3 linked regions of the Callithrix jacchus genome follow. The protein of the gene in region 3 purifies or fractionates together with the protein of the main gene of each other region. This does not show direct contact. Links are inferred from orthologs where the notes say so. Each region holds a gene or a part of one and is shown on either strand. Other genes may lie near its edges.

Evidence for each region. Proteins that work in one complex are often made in the same cells at the same time.
Region 1: the proteins of CDK19 (region 3) and MED12L purify together in Homo sapiens (affinity purification with mass spectrometry; 3 studies listed by BioGRID and IntAct, counting the BioPlex papers as one, with this or other methods). This does not show direct contact. The link is inferred for Callithrix jacchus from reciprocal best matches to the Homo sapiens genes CDK19 and MED12L.
Region 2: the proteins of CDK19 (region 3) and MED1 purify together in Homo sapiens (affinity purification with mass spectrometry; 7 studies listed by BioGRID and IntAct, counting the BioPlex papers as one, with this or other methods). This does not show direct contact. The link is inferred for Callithrix jacchus from reciprocal best matches to the Homo sapiens genes CDK19 and MED1.

What each region holds. Positions count from the first base shown.
Region 1 is NC_133518.1:34,162,810-34,167,061, reverse strand, and holds the start of MED12L (mediator of RNA polymerase II transcription subunit 12-like protein), read left to right. Parts: upstream 1-1,344; 5' UTR 1,345-1,670; coding exon 1,671-1,769; intron 1,770-4,252. UniProt on the Homo sapiens protein: May be a component of the Mediator complex, a coactivator involved in the regulated transcription of nearly all RNA polymerase II-dependent genes.
Region 2 is NC_133506.1:119,910,743-119,915,003, forward strand, and holds the start of MED1 (mediator of RNA polymerase II transcription subunit 1), read right to left. Parts: upstream 2,909-4,261; 5' UTR 2,706-2,908; coding exon 2,681-2,705; intron 1-2,680. UniProt on the Homo sapiens protein: Component of the Mediator complex, a coactivator involved in the regulated transcription of nearly all RNA polymerase II-dependent genes.
Region 3 is NC_133505.1:116,796,334-116,799,978, forward strand, and holds part of CDK19 (cyclin-dependent kinase 19), read right to left. Parts: coding exon 3,561-3,645; intron 3,410-3,560; coding exon 3,340-3,409; intron 116-3,339; coding exon 43-115; intron 1-42.

The sequences.
Region 1 (4,252 bases), on a different chromosome or scaffold from region 3:
CCGAGCCCGCCTCCGCGGCTCCGGTCTCGCAGAGCTCGCGGCAGGTGGCTCAGCATCTTGGTGCCCGCACCCCGAAGCGAGCGAGGAGCGAGGGTGGGTTGGATGACCAAGGTCTGCCCTGGAAGATCATCGCCCCCAACCCCCGCCCCTTCCACGCTCTCGGCGCAGGTGAGGTTTTCGGCTCAGGCCACCGGGACAGCGACCTCTGAGGAGGTCGAGGCGGAAGGCGCAGCTGGGGGCCTGGAGCGGGGCTCCTGAGGGCGCTCCCGCCTTCGCCCTGGTTCACCCCAGGGCCAGCCTCGGCGCCGGAGCCCGCGGGCTGCGCGCTCTGCGGCTGCGAAAACCCGGAGAGGCGGATTGGAGCGCGCTCACCGCGCTCGCAGCCAACTCCTCCGCGGTCCGGCCGCCGAGCTGGGCATGCTCAGTACGGACGCCGCGCCGCCGTCCGCCAACTCGGAAGCTCGCGCTCCCCGGCCGTGGGGGCGAGAACGCCGGCGCTGAGCCGGCGTCGCTCGCCGCCCCCAGACAGTGGCAAACTTCGCGGCGTCCCCGGAGCTCGTCCGGGCGAGGCAGATACCTCACAAATAAAATCAAATCCAATTCCCCATTCTAACCCGAATAATGGAGGCTGCAGCGGCCGGAGTGACCCCGCCGCCGCCAGCCCCTGCCCGCTAGCCGCGGACCAACAGGTAAACTGTTGGGGGTGGGGGGTGGGGGGTGGACGGGAAGAGGAGCTGGGGCCGGGGAGAGGCTGCGGGCTGGAGGAGCCCGAGACGCCTGCGAGCTGGCTGCCCCCGTCGGCGCTCACAGACATCGCGCCTCACCCCCTTCCTCAGCCCCTGGAGGGACAGTAAAGGGTTAAGTCGGCCCCGCGCCACCGTGAGCACGGCCCCCTCCAGCCGCCGCGACCGCCAGCAGCGCGCCTCGGCGCCTGCCCGAAGCCGCCGAGGGGACCGGAGCCGCGGATGCGCCACCGGAGCCTGGCGGGCGTCTAGGAGGCACCGGCCGCTTCCCACCGGCAGCATCCCTGGGTCTCGCGCCCCCTCCAGGTCTCCCTCCCTCTGCACCGGCCGGGTCCGCGCCCAGGTGGCGGAGTCTGCGGGGCGCGTGGCGGCGGGGGAAGGGTCTCTGCCGGGTAAGAGAGGCGGGGGCGGTCCGCTCCTCAGGGGAGGAGGGCCACCCTCGCCTTGGGCGAGCACTTGAGACACCAGCCTAGGCGCCAAGAAAAGTTTTTTTATTTTTTTTCCCAGTGCCCCACCCCCATCCCATCCTGCGCCCAGCTGGGGTGGGTTTGGGTCCATTGGTGAAAAAAGTCACACGTTCCCATCAGCTGCTCCTCCCCCTGGGGACTGGGTGTGGGGGAGCGCAGGAGGTAGGCGCCGCGGAGGACCTTGCCGACCTCTAGCCCCTCCGCCGCCGCCGCGGGAGCGGTGCGTCCCCCGGCCCGAGCGTAGTCGAGTGCCCGCCGGAGGCTGTCCCCATCAGTGCGTGTCTGCTGCCCGGCAGCGGCAGCATCCAACCTGCTTTATTCCTGCCTGCAGCGCCACAGCGAGCGGGCGAGCGAGGAGGGAGAGAGAGGGAGTCTGTCTGCAAAGTGCTGCTCCCTGGTGCTCAGAGGCGGCTGCTCCAGCTCCAACTCTCATTCATTTCGCCGGTTAACATGAGAGATCATGGCCGCCTTCGGGCTTCTCAGCTATGAGCAGAGACCACTGAAGCGCCCCCGGCTCGGGCCGCCCGACGTCTACCCACAGGACCCCAAGCAGAAGGAGGTAAGGGCGCCGGCGGCGGCCTCGGCAACCGGGGCCGCCCTCTGCAGCGCTGACCCGGGGCCAAGTTGGCCCAGCGGGCATCGCCGGCGCTGCAGGAGAAGAGGTCGGGGAGGGGGATGAGAGACGGGGGCCGGGCTGGGGGGCTGGGCGACCCCCCGGCGGCGGAGATCTTGCGGCTGTCAGTCCTCGCGCTCCAATGGGGCAGTCGCTCTCCGTGTGCCGGTAGCTTTCGCGTTGCCTGGCCTTGCACGGCGCCACCGGGCGCTTCTCCGGCTTCTTCCCTGCGGAATCCCTGCCGGCTCTCACCCGCTTCTGCCTGCTTAATTTTTCTTCTTACCGCTTCGGCAAATCCTCGTAAACTTTTTGAAAAATGTGGGAATGCAGTGCATCCTGCACTGAGGTCTTGGGTTTTGCGTCCGCTGGCCAGGGACGAAGGTGGGGGGAGCTTTTCAAATTTTCCGGTTTGGAATGGAAGTCGTTTTTATCGAAGTGATAAACACTTAGCTCTCGGAATATACATCTGTATCCCTTCTCCCCTTTACAAATTAAAATTAAGGAGAAACACCGGTTTTCATCCCTAGAGGCAATTGGCTTAATTGCTGGAGACTGTTTTGTATATGTACAGGCAAGTTACCTTGGGAAGGAATAGTTCCCAGGATTGCTTATTTTTTGAATGAAATTTATTGGAGAAACCTTGACTCTTGCACCAGGTACACTAGCTTCAATGGCTAGGGTAACCACAGCATTTTGTAGCTATGTTTGTGTTTGTCAGGAGTTAAGTAATTATGTAACAAGTCTCCAGTTATAATGATCACCTTTGGCTACACCATTTGCCCAGGGACTTGCCTTTTTTTTTCTGATCACCTGCTAGCCAGCTGTGCTTTTTGGGTTTGCCAGCTGCAGCCCACCCATCTTGTGTTTTCTTCAGCTAAACGCGAACTGACCACGTTTCAAAACTTATCTTTCTGAGAATCTAAAAACCTTCCATTAAAAGATTGTGCGTTCACTGATAGCACAGAAGGGGCCTTGTAAACCAGGCAAGGAGGGGGTCCTTAATTCCTTTTGATAAATGTGTCTGTTTCATTAGTAAAGTGCTAGTTCTGCCTAAACTGTCTTGCTTATAACGTGTCTGAGAAGTAAGGAACAGCACCTCCTTTTAGAGGTTCAGCACACTAAATATACTCGAGTATCGGTGGAGTCATGCAGATGAAAGCTGGGAAGGTTTTACAGGTAGTTTCCAGCACCAGCTTCACAGGATGGTAGGAGTTTGAGAAGATTTCGCGGATTTTTCCCCCACCTGTTACCCCACCCTTCTAACTCAATTTAGAATGAAGTTAATGGTTAAGGACTGGAAATATTAGAGAGGCTGAGGATCAGTGTAAACTTAATAACTTAAAAATTATTGGGAGGAAATTCTTAAAGTTTTGATAGGGACAGGGATATTTCGTTGATCTTTATCATCTCATAATTAATGTGTTACTGTGCCTTTCCAGAGGGCAGCATAATTGATAGCATGATGGCTTGGGATGCTGTGTTTGCTTATTTAGCATTTGTTCTTCAGGCCAACGCTCATTTCAGGACTGGGGCCTCTGCGATTCTGGAAAGAGTAATTTTGGATTTCAGGGTCTTACAACATTTTATGGAGTTGTAAAACTGGAAGCGACCTTAGGGACTACTTTTTATAACTTTCTTTGGACGAAGTGAAACAGGCCTAGGGAAGCTTGACTGGTTTAACCAAGGTTTATGGGGGAATAAGCAGAGGAGTTGTACCACCAAAACAGTATTTATGTCAAAATGAATACTGCTTTGAGGATGATTTATGGGCTATTATGTTCTGATGTTATCCCCTTTTCCAAGGCAGCCAATGTTTTATCTCTCTCAAGCAGAGTCAGAGTTATGTGTGGCTGTAGCCAAATTTGGGTACAATGTGGAACAGGTGCTTGGCTGTTCTTGGGTGGTTGGTGAGTAGCCTAAGCTTTAGTTATTTATGTACTACTTCCCTCAAGATTTCTACCCTGTACCACCTGTACTTTTATTCTAAAGTTTTCTTTAAGTTTTAAGAAACTCTGTGTTTCCTGGGCAATAATACACATGGAGTCATGGTTTTATTACAATATATGTATACATCAAATTTATATCAAATCATGTATACATACTATTTTAAATCCATTTGATATTAGATGCATAGACACGTATATGATTATACATATTAAAATGAGACCATTACTATTAACACTTTAAAAGTTCTTCTCTGTAACTAAAACAACAGTTGTGATCCATTAGAGATACGTGTGGTGGGAAATGCTGATTTAATGGAGGAAGTGTGGGCTTCCAAGTTGGGCTGACCTGGATTTAGGTTTTTTTTTTTTTTCAATTGTGTGACCTAGGCAAGTTGCATAGCCTCTCATTTGTAAATTAGTCTGATTGTACGCTTCAGAAAAAATTTCAAACTAACATTTGGGTGATGAAAGCCCTCCTCCTAG
Region 2 (4,261 bases), on a different chromosome or scaffold from region 3:
GTGATCTTGGCTCAAGGAAACCGCCACCTCTCAGGTTCAACTGAATCTCCTGCCTCAGCCTCTGGAGTAGCTGGGATTACAGGCATGCACCTTGCCACACCCAGCTAATTTTGTATTTTTAGTAAACACGAGATTTCACCATGTTGGACAGGCTGGTCTCCAACTCCTGAACTCAGGTGATCCACCCACCTCAGCCTCCCCGTTTTGGGATTACAGGTGTGAGCCACCATGCCTGGCCTCAAACACTATTAAAAGCGCTGGGGAGGGCTGGGTATGGTGGCTAACATCTGTAATCACAGCATTTTGGGAGGCTAAGGCAGGTGGATCACCTTAGGTCAGGAGATCTAGACCAGCCTGGCCAACATGGTGAAACCCCATCTCTACTAACAATATAAAAATTAGCCGGGCATGGTGGTGGGCGCCTGTAAACCCAGCTACTCAGGAGACTGAGGCAGGAGAATCGCTTGAATCCGGAGGTGGAGGTTGCAGTGAGCCAAGATCACAGCACTGCACTCCAGCCTGGGTGACAGAGTGACACTCCATCTCAATTAAAAAAAAAGTGCTGGGGAAGCCAGACATTGTGGCTCACACCTATAATCCTAGCTAGCACTTTGGGAGGCCAATGTGGAAGAATACTTGAGCTGGGGAGTTCAACTACAGCTGGGGCAACGTAACAAGATCCCACCACTTTAAAAGAAAAAAATAGCCAGGCTCTGCTAAGTGGCTCACGCCTGTAATCCTGGCACTTTGGAAGCCCCTTCTCTACTAAAAATATAAAATTATCAAGTGTGGTGGTGCATGCCTCTAATCCCAGCTACTTGGGAGGCTAAGAAGAATCACTTGAACCCAGGAGGCAGAGGTTGCAGGAAACTGAGATTACATCATTGCACTCCAGCCTGGGCAACAAGAGTGAAACTGTCTCAAAAAAAAAAAAAAAAAAGGACAGTCTTACTCAGTAGCTAAGGCTTGAGTGCACTACTGGCACAATCATAGCCTATTGCAGCCTCGATCTCCCAAGGTCCAGGATGAAGTGATCCTCCCAGCTCAGCCTTCAGAGTAGCTGGCACTATAGCTAATTTTCCTTTTTTTTTTGAGACAGGGTCTCACTCTGTCACCCAGGTTGGAGTGCAATAACATAATCCTGGCTCACCGGAGTCTTGACCTACAGGATTCAGGTAATCTGCCTACCGCAGCCTCCCAAGTAGCTAGACTACTGGCTTGTGTCACCACGCTCAGCTAATTTTTGTATCTGTTGTAGAAACAGGGTTTTGCCATGTTGTCCAGGCTGGTCTCCAACTCATGGGCTCAAGTGACCCTCCTGCTTCGGCCTCCCAAAATGCTGGGATTACAGGCTTGAACCACTGCCTGGCCCTAATTTTTTATTTATTTATTTATTTATTTATTTATTTTTGAAATGAAGTTTCACTTTCATTGCCCAGACTGAAGTGCAGTGGCAAAATCTTGACTCAATGCAACCTCCACCTCCTGGGTTTGAGTGATTTTCCTGCCTCAGCCTCTCAAGTAGCTGAGATTACAGACAAGCCACCATGACCAGCTAATATTGTATTTTTAGTAGAGATGGCGTTTCACCATATTGGCCAGGCTGGTCTTGAATTCCTGACCTCAGGTGATCCACCTGCCTTGGCCTCCCAAAGTGCTGGGATTACAGGCCCTCACGCCCAGCCAATTTTTTTATGTTTTTGTAGAGAGAGGGTCTCACTATGTTGCCCAGGCTGGTCTCTAACTTCTGGGCTCAAGGGATCCTCCAGCCTCAGCCTCCTAAAGTTCTGGGATTACAGATGTGAGTCACTGCACCCGGCCCCACCTTTTGACCTCTCCTCCAAAACATACTTCTTGTTGTCCTTGAGAAACCTGCTGATAGGTAACTTTACTTCAATGCTCAGACATTTTTTGAGCGACTATTTACGTCAACGCTTATTTTTTGAGCAACTATTACGTGCCAGAAACTATACAAAAATTAATCAGGCAAGGTCCCTAATCTGCAAAGCTCAGAGTAAATTGAAAAAGATAAACAAACAATAATACAGCTCACTGTATCAACAGAACTATGCCCAAAATGCTAAGGAAGCATCTATACTGGAGTGTGGAACTTTAGAGAATCTTAGTAAAGTTCCACAGAAAAGTTTGTTTTTCTGCAGTTCTTAGTTCAGTCAATAAAAGAAAGGGAAAAAAAAATGAAATTCAGTGCAGTTTAAAAACACACAATAGCACGGGATCTGAACACTTGACATTGTAGGGAACTGCTGGCTGCTAATAAATATAAGGACCTAATCATTTCATTTATGCCAAAATATCCTCCAGTACGTTTACCCACAGCCCTGTATTTACTCAGACGTCTCTTCTGGAACGAGATGTAAGCTGGTTTTGTATTCACTGGCCCGGTCTCCCACCACTTTAAGCCAAAAGTGCCCTGAGGCCCAACCGACTGTCCCTAGTCGATCAGGAAATCTTCACAGAAGTTGAGAGTCCCCATCACCCCAAAGTCGGAGCTCTATATTCACCAAGGAAGGTATAGTGAGAATCTAAAACTCATAAACATTCCCTCTCCTGGACTCTATGCCCGTAAAGTGGCCCCTATCGGACATTGGCAGGAACCTCCTCTCACAAACCGGCTCCCCAAATTGTGTCCCGCCCCCTCCTTTCCCCCTCGGTCACTTACCCTCGGTTTCCCCCTGAGCTTTCATCCTGAAGGCGGGGAGAGCCTGGATCTGCCACAAAGGGATAAGCCCTTCCCCGCCACTAACGGGGAAAACAAGTTGGCCCGGGATCCCGAGACGCAGGGCACCAGCAGTCCCTACTCTTCCCGGGAAGGATCAGTCTGAAGTCCCCGGCGACAAGAAGAGAAGGGTGCTCGAGGCCGCCGCCATCTTCCCCAACGGAACTTCCCAAAATTCGCGAGATAAACCGTGGTCCTGCCAGAGGGAGGAAGAGGACAGGGCATCGAAATCTCGCGAATATTGGTCAATGCGTGGGCCTCGCGAGATTTCTTTCAAGCTAGTCCTGTCTTTGCTCTGGGCTGTCTCAGGCCTGACGCTGCTGGTTGTTAAAACTGCGGGCCAGTAACTTACAGCTCCCCTGCGGAAACCAGCATTTTCTTTTTTAATTTGAGCAGTTAAACAACTCGCAAATTAAAATCTCCAGATCTCTCTACTGAAAGACTATCTTTTCAAAGGCTATTGGTATCAGGAATGTATGTTTTCCGTGAGATACTAGATGCAATAATTATGTCCTAAGAAAGCTAGTGGCGCATTGTAACATGACATTCAAAGACAGCCTAGCACAATTAATTCCCCTTTCTTTCCTTCTTTTTTTTTTTTTTTTTTTGAGACGGAATCTCGCTGTGTTGCTAGAATGGAGTCCAGTGGTGCGATCTCGACTCACTGCAATCTCCCTCTGCCTCCTGGATTCAAGCGCTTATCCTCCCTAAGCTTCCCGAGTAGCTAGGATTATAGGTGTGTGCCACCACACCAAGCTGATTTTTGTGTTTTTAGTGGAGACGGAGTTTCACTATATTGGCCTCTATCTTCTGACCTCGTGATCCGCCCGCCTTGGCCTCCCAAAGTGCTGGAATTACAGGCGTGAGCCACCGCGCCGGCTTCTTTTCTCATTTTTTTAGTTTCAAAACTTTCTTTCTCTTTCTTTCCTTCTTTCTTTCTCCTTCCTTCCTTCCTTTTCCTTCCTTCCTTCCTTTTCCTTCCTTCCTTCCTTCCTTCCTTCCTTCCTTCCTTCCTTCCTTCCTTCCTTCCTTCCTTCCTTCCTTCCTTCCTTTCTTTCTGACAGAGTTTCACTCTTGTTACCCAGGCTGGAATGCAATGGCGCGATCTCGGCTCACCGCAACCTCCATCTCCTCGGTTCAAGCCATTCTCCTGCCTCAGCCTCCCGAGTAGCTGGGACTACAGGCGCAGGCGCCATGCCCAGCTAATTTTTGTATTTTTAGTAGAGACGGGGTTTCACCACGTTGACCAGGATGGTCTCGATCTCTTGACCTTGTGATCCACCAGCCTTGGCCTCCCAAAGTGCTGGGATTATAGGCGTGAGCCACCGCGACGGCCTCTCTCCTTCCTTCCTTCCTTCCTTCCTTCCTTCCTTCCTTCCTTCCTTCCTTCCTTCCTTCCTTTCTTCTTTCTTTCTTTTTCCTTCCTTCCTTCCTTCTTTCTTTCTTTTTTGAGATGAAGTGTCGCTCTCTCACCCAGGCTGGAGTGCAGTGGCAGAACCTCGGCTCACTGCAACCTCCGCCTCC
Region 3 (3,645 bases):
TGCACCAAGGATCAGATTTCAGTCTGGGAGAGAAGCACCTACCAAGAGGAACACTTTGCTGTCAGGCTTGACCTTGTGTTTCTCCATGTACTTTATGAGGCTACTGTTGGCATACCTGCAAGGACACACACAGTCACACATCACTAGGAACACTCATCCAATTGCTATTTTTTTAATGATAAGCTTCAAGATGGGTTTTCCTATAAGGTATGTGTGTAAGCCATTGTTGTTTCTAATTAAGGAGGAATACATTGCCAAATATTAGCAAATGTGTGAAGAAGTAGGAACTGTCACACACACATGAGAGTTTATACAATGCCTTTGGAAAACAGTTATGCATTAGTGTTGAAAATGTGTATAGCCTATACCTAGCAACTCCATTTCTAGGCACATAGCTGAGCCTAAGAGATGCTTCTGTACATGTAAATCAGGATACATGGATAAGAATATTCTTAGCAGCCTTTTAGTAATGGCAGAAAAACTAACAAACAAACAAAAATGTAGATAACCCAAATGACCATTAACTGAAGAATGGGTACAGTTTTATATACTCACAGAATGGAATGTTCCGCAACAGTAAAAATGAATATGTAAGGTTGAGTGATGAGAAAGAGCAAGTTGCAGAAGAAAGTACATACTATGTTACCATTTATAAAAAGCCGAAGGACAATAAACTGAAGAGGAATTTTTAGAGATACATACATGTGAACTAGAACTATCATAAAAATTGTGGGATGACAAACCCAAATGCAGAACACTCAGAGTCTACCCTCTGGGAGGAATGTGGCTAGGGAGGTGGGGCATACAGGTACTTCAGTAACCTTAGTAATGCTCTAATTCTTAGGTTCAGAGGTGAGCAAAGGGTATTCATTTTATTATTCTAAATACACTATGTCTTTTTTCATTATATATTCTTTCCTACATATGAAATATTTCAAATTAAAAGGTCTAAAAATAGGTAACATGTTTCATGATAAAAAGAATTACAGAATACAGAAAGTATAAGGAAGAAAATTAGAATCACTCACAAGCCACTGTGACAAGAAACCACTGACAAAATTTTTATAATGTCCCTTTGGTGTGGTGTGTGTGTGTGTGTGAGTGTGTGTGTGCGCCTATACATACATGGTATAAACATAGATTGTTTTGCTTTTTTCATAAAATTGGAATACTACTATAAAAATTGGCTTAGCTTTCTCTTTAATATTGTTCCATAAACATTCTGCCCTGTCAAATACTCTTCAAATTTACTGTTGAGTGGCTGCCTATCTCCTACTGGTACGGGTATTACTTGTTTCTAAGAGCTATGGCATACAAGTCCTTGTAGCTAAACCTGATGTGCATGGCAGGGAGCTGATATTCTAGCAGGTGAGACTCAGATCCCTACTAGACCCTGACTCAGTCATTTACCAATTGTGTGATCTTGTGCAAGTTAGTTCACCTCTATCAAAGCCTTAGGTTATGAATGTGAAAAGTGGACATTGTAATTATACCTACCCTATAGATTTGCTATGAAGATTATATGAAAAAATGTAGGTAAAGTGTTTAGCACCACCCTGGTATATAATAAGTACTCAGCTATTTGTGGCCACTCTGATTACTTCCACAGGATAAATTCCAGGAATCATCAGGTCAAAGGGCATGCACATTTTAAAGCCCTTTTTAGGTGCTCTAGAATCTCGCCACACAAATGTAGCCCTTACCAGCGATCTGAGCATCACCTGAGAACCTATATTAGAAATGAGGATTCTTAGTCCTTACCCCTGATTCTGACTCAGAATCTACATTTTTAACAAGGTCTCCAGGTGATTCGTAGGTACAATGAAGTCTGAGAAGTACTCATCCTCACCAGTAGCATATGAGTAATAATTTTTTTTAAATAAAAATAGAGATAGGATCTAACTATGCTACCCAGGCAGGTATCAAACTCCTGGGATCAAGGGATCCTTCCACCTCAGCCTCTCAGAGTGTGGGGATTACAGGTGTGAGTGAGCCACTGTGCCTGGCCAGAATGTCCATTTTATTGTACCCTTGCTGGCACCACCCTGATGGGTTGTACCTTGCTGGCAAGGGTACAATAAAATGTTAAATGAAAATAGCCAGTTTGGTTTTGGATGTTTAATTTAAAGAATTTATAGAACATTCAGTTTGGAATTCCACAAGGCAATTAGATAAATGATTTTGAAACTTGGAAAAGTGAACTGAACTGAGTAAGACACATAATGGGAGTTATCCACATAATTGATGGTAAATTGTGGCCATCAAAACCATGGAGTCTGCCTGGGAAAATCTCTAGAGTGAGAAGAGAGCCCAGGATAGAGCACTGATATCAGCACTATCCTTAAGAAATGGATAGAGGCAAAGAACCCCACCAAGGATTGTGAGAACAAGGGGCTAGAAATGATCAATGCCATTCTCTACTTCTCTTTATGATGTCTGCTTTTGTTCCTATAAGCCATCGTGTCTTGAAATTTTCCTGGTAAGTTGCCCATAGAGAACCTCCTCCACCATTTTCCGCAGGGGTGCCTACTTATAACAAACTCCTCACCTGCCATCACCCTTAATCTCATTTTTGCTCAAAGTAAATGCCTTCATCAGTTTGTTTTACTCATATTCCAGGCATGTGTTCTTCCAGGTTTCCTAGTTCAGACTGTCAGTCACCAGCCATCACTCAAATAAAGATGAAATCACAGCTGTGGCCTTGAATTGAGACCTCTATTCATTCTAAAACATAACAGATATAAACTACCTACTGATCCTTAAATTCTTAAGTTTTTAATACTGCAGCCTCAACCTGAACTATATATATGTTAACAGTATCTGGAGTATTTTCTTTAAATCACAGGCATAATTAATATGCTAAAATCTTGGTTTCTAGTTTAAATAATAATCTACATCTGTTTTTTGAAAAGATTAATTTAAATATTCCCATTGAAATTCCTGCCTATAACAAACATGCACTATGGTTTTAATGTTTATGTCCCCTCCAAAATTCATGTTGAAACTTAATTCCCAATTTAACAGTATTAGAAGATGAGTCCTTCCAAAATTGAGGGCTTTGCTTTCATGAGTGGGATTATTGCCTTGTAAAAGAGGCATCACACAGCATCTGCCCCTTTTTGCCCTTCGACCTTCCACCACGTGAGGAAACAGCAACAAGAAGCCACCTTAGAAGCAGAAAACAACCCTCAAGAGATACCAAACATGCTGGTGCCTTGATCTTGGACTTCCCAGCCTTAAGAACTGGGAAAAAACAAACTTCTGTTGTTTATAAATTACACAGCCTAAGGTATTTTTTATAGCAGCACAAAAAGACTAAGATAATGTGGAATTACTCACGTTGTTCTTCTAAAGTCTTTTTGAAGTGTGGGATATTCTGGCATCTTTCTAATATCTTCCCAGTCTTTGTCTTACAAAAACAATGAAATATTTTAGAAAAAAATGTGTTAATTTAAAGTCTAATTATTTTAGCTTAAAACTATACATTAAAATATGCTTATGAGAAGAAATGATTTTGAAGTATGACTCAAAATATGACTTTAAAAAGGAAAATAAATTACCTGCAGGAAATCCCATGACACTAAATATCCGATCCAGTTGATCGTGATGGAAGGGATTGCTTGTTTTTATATCTTCCTGACGACA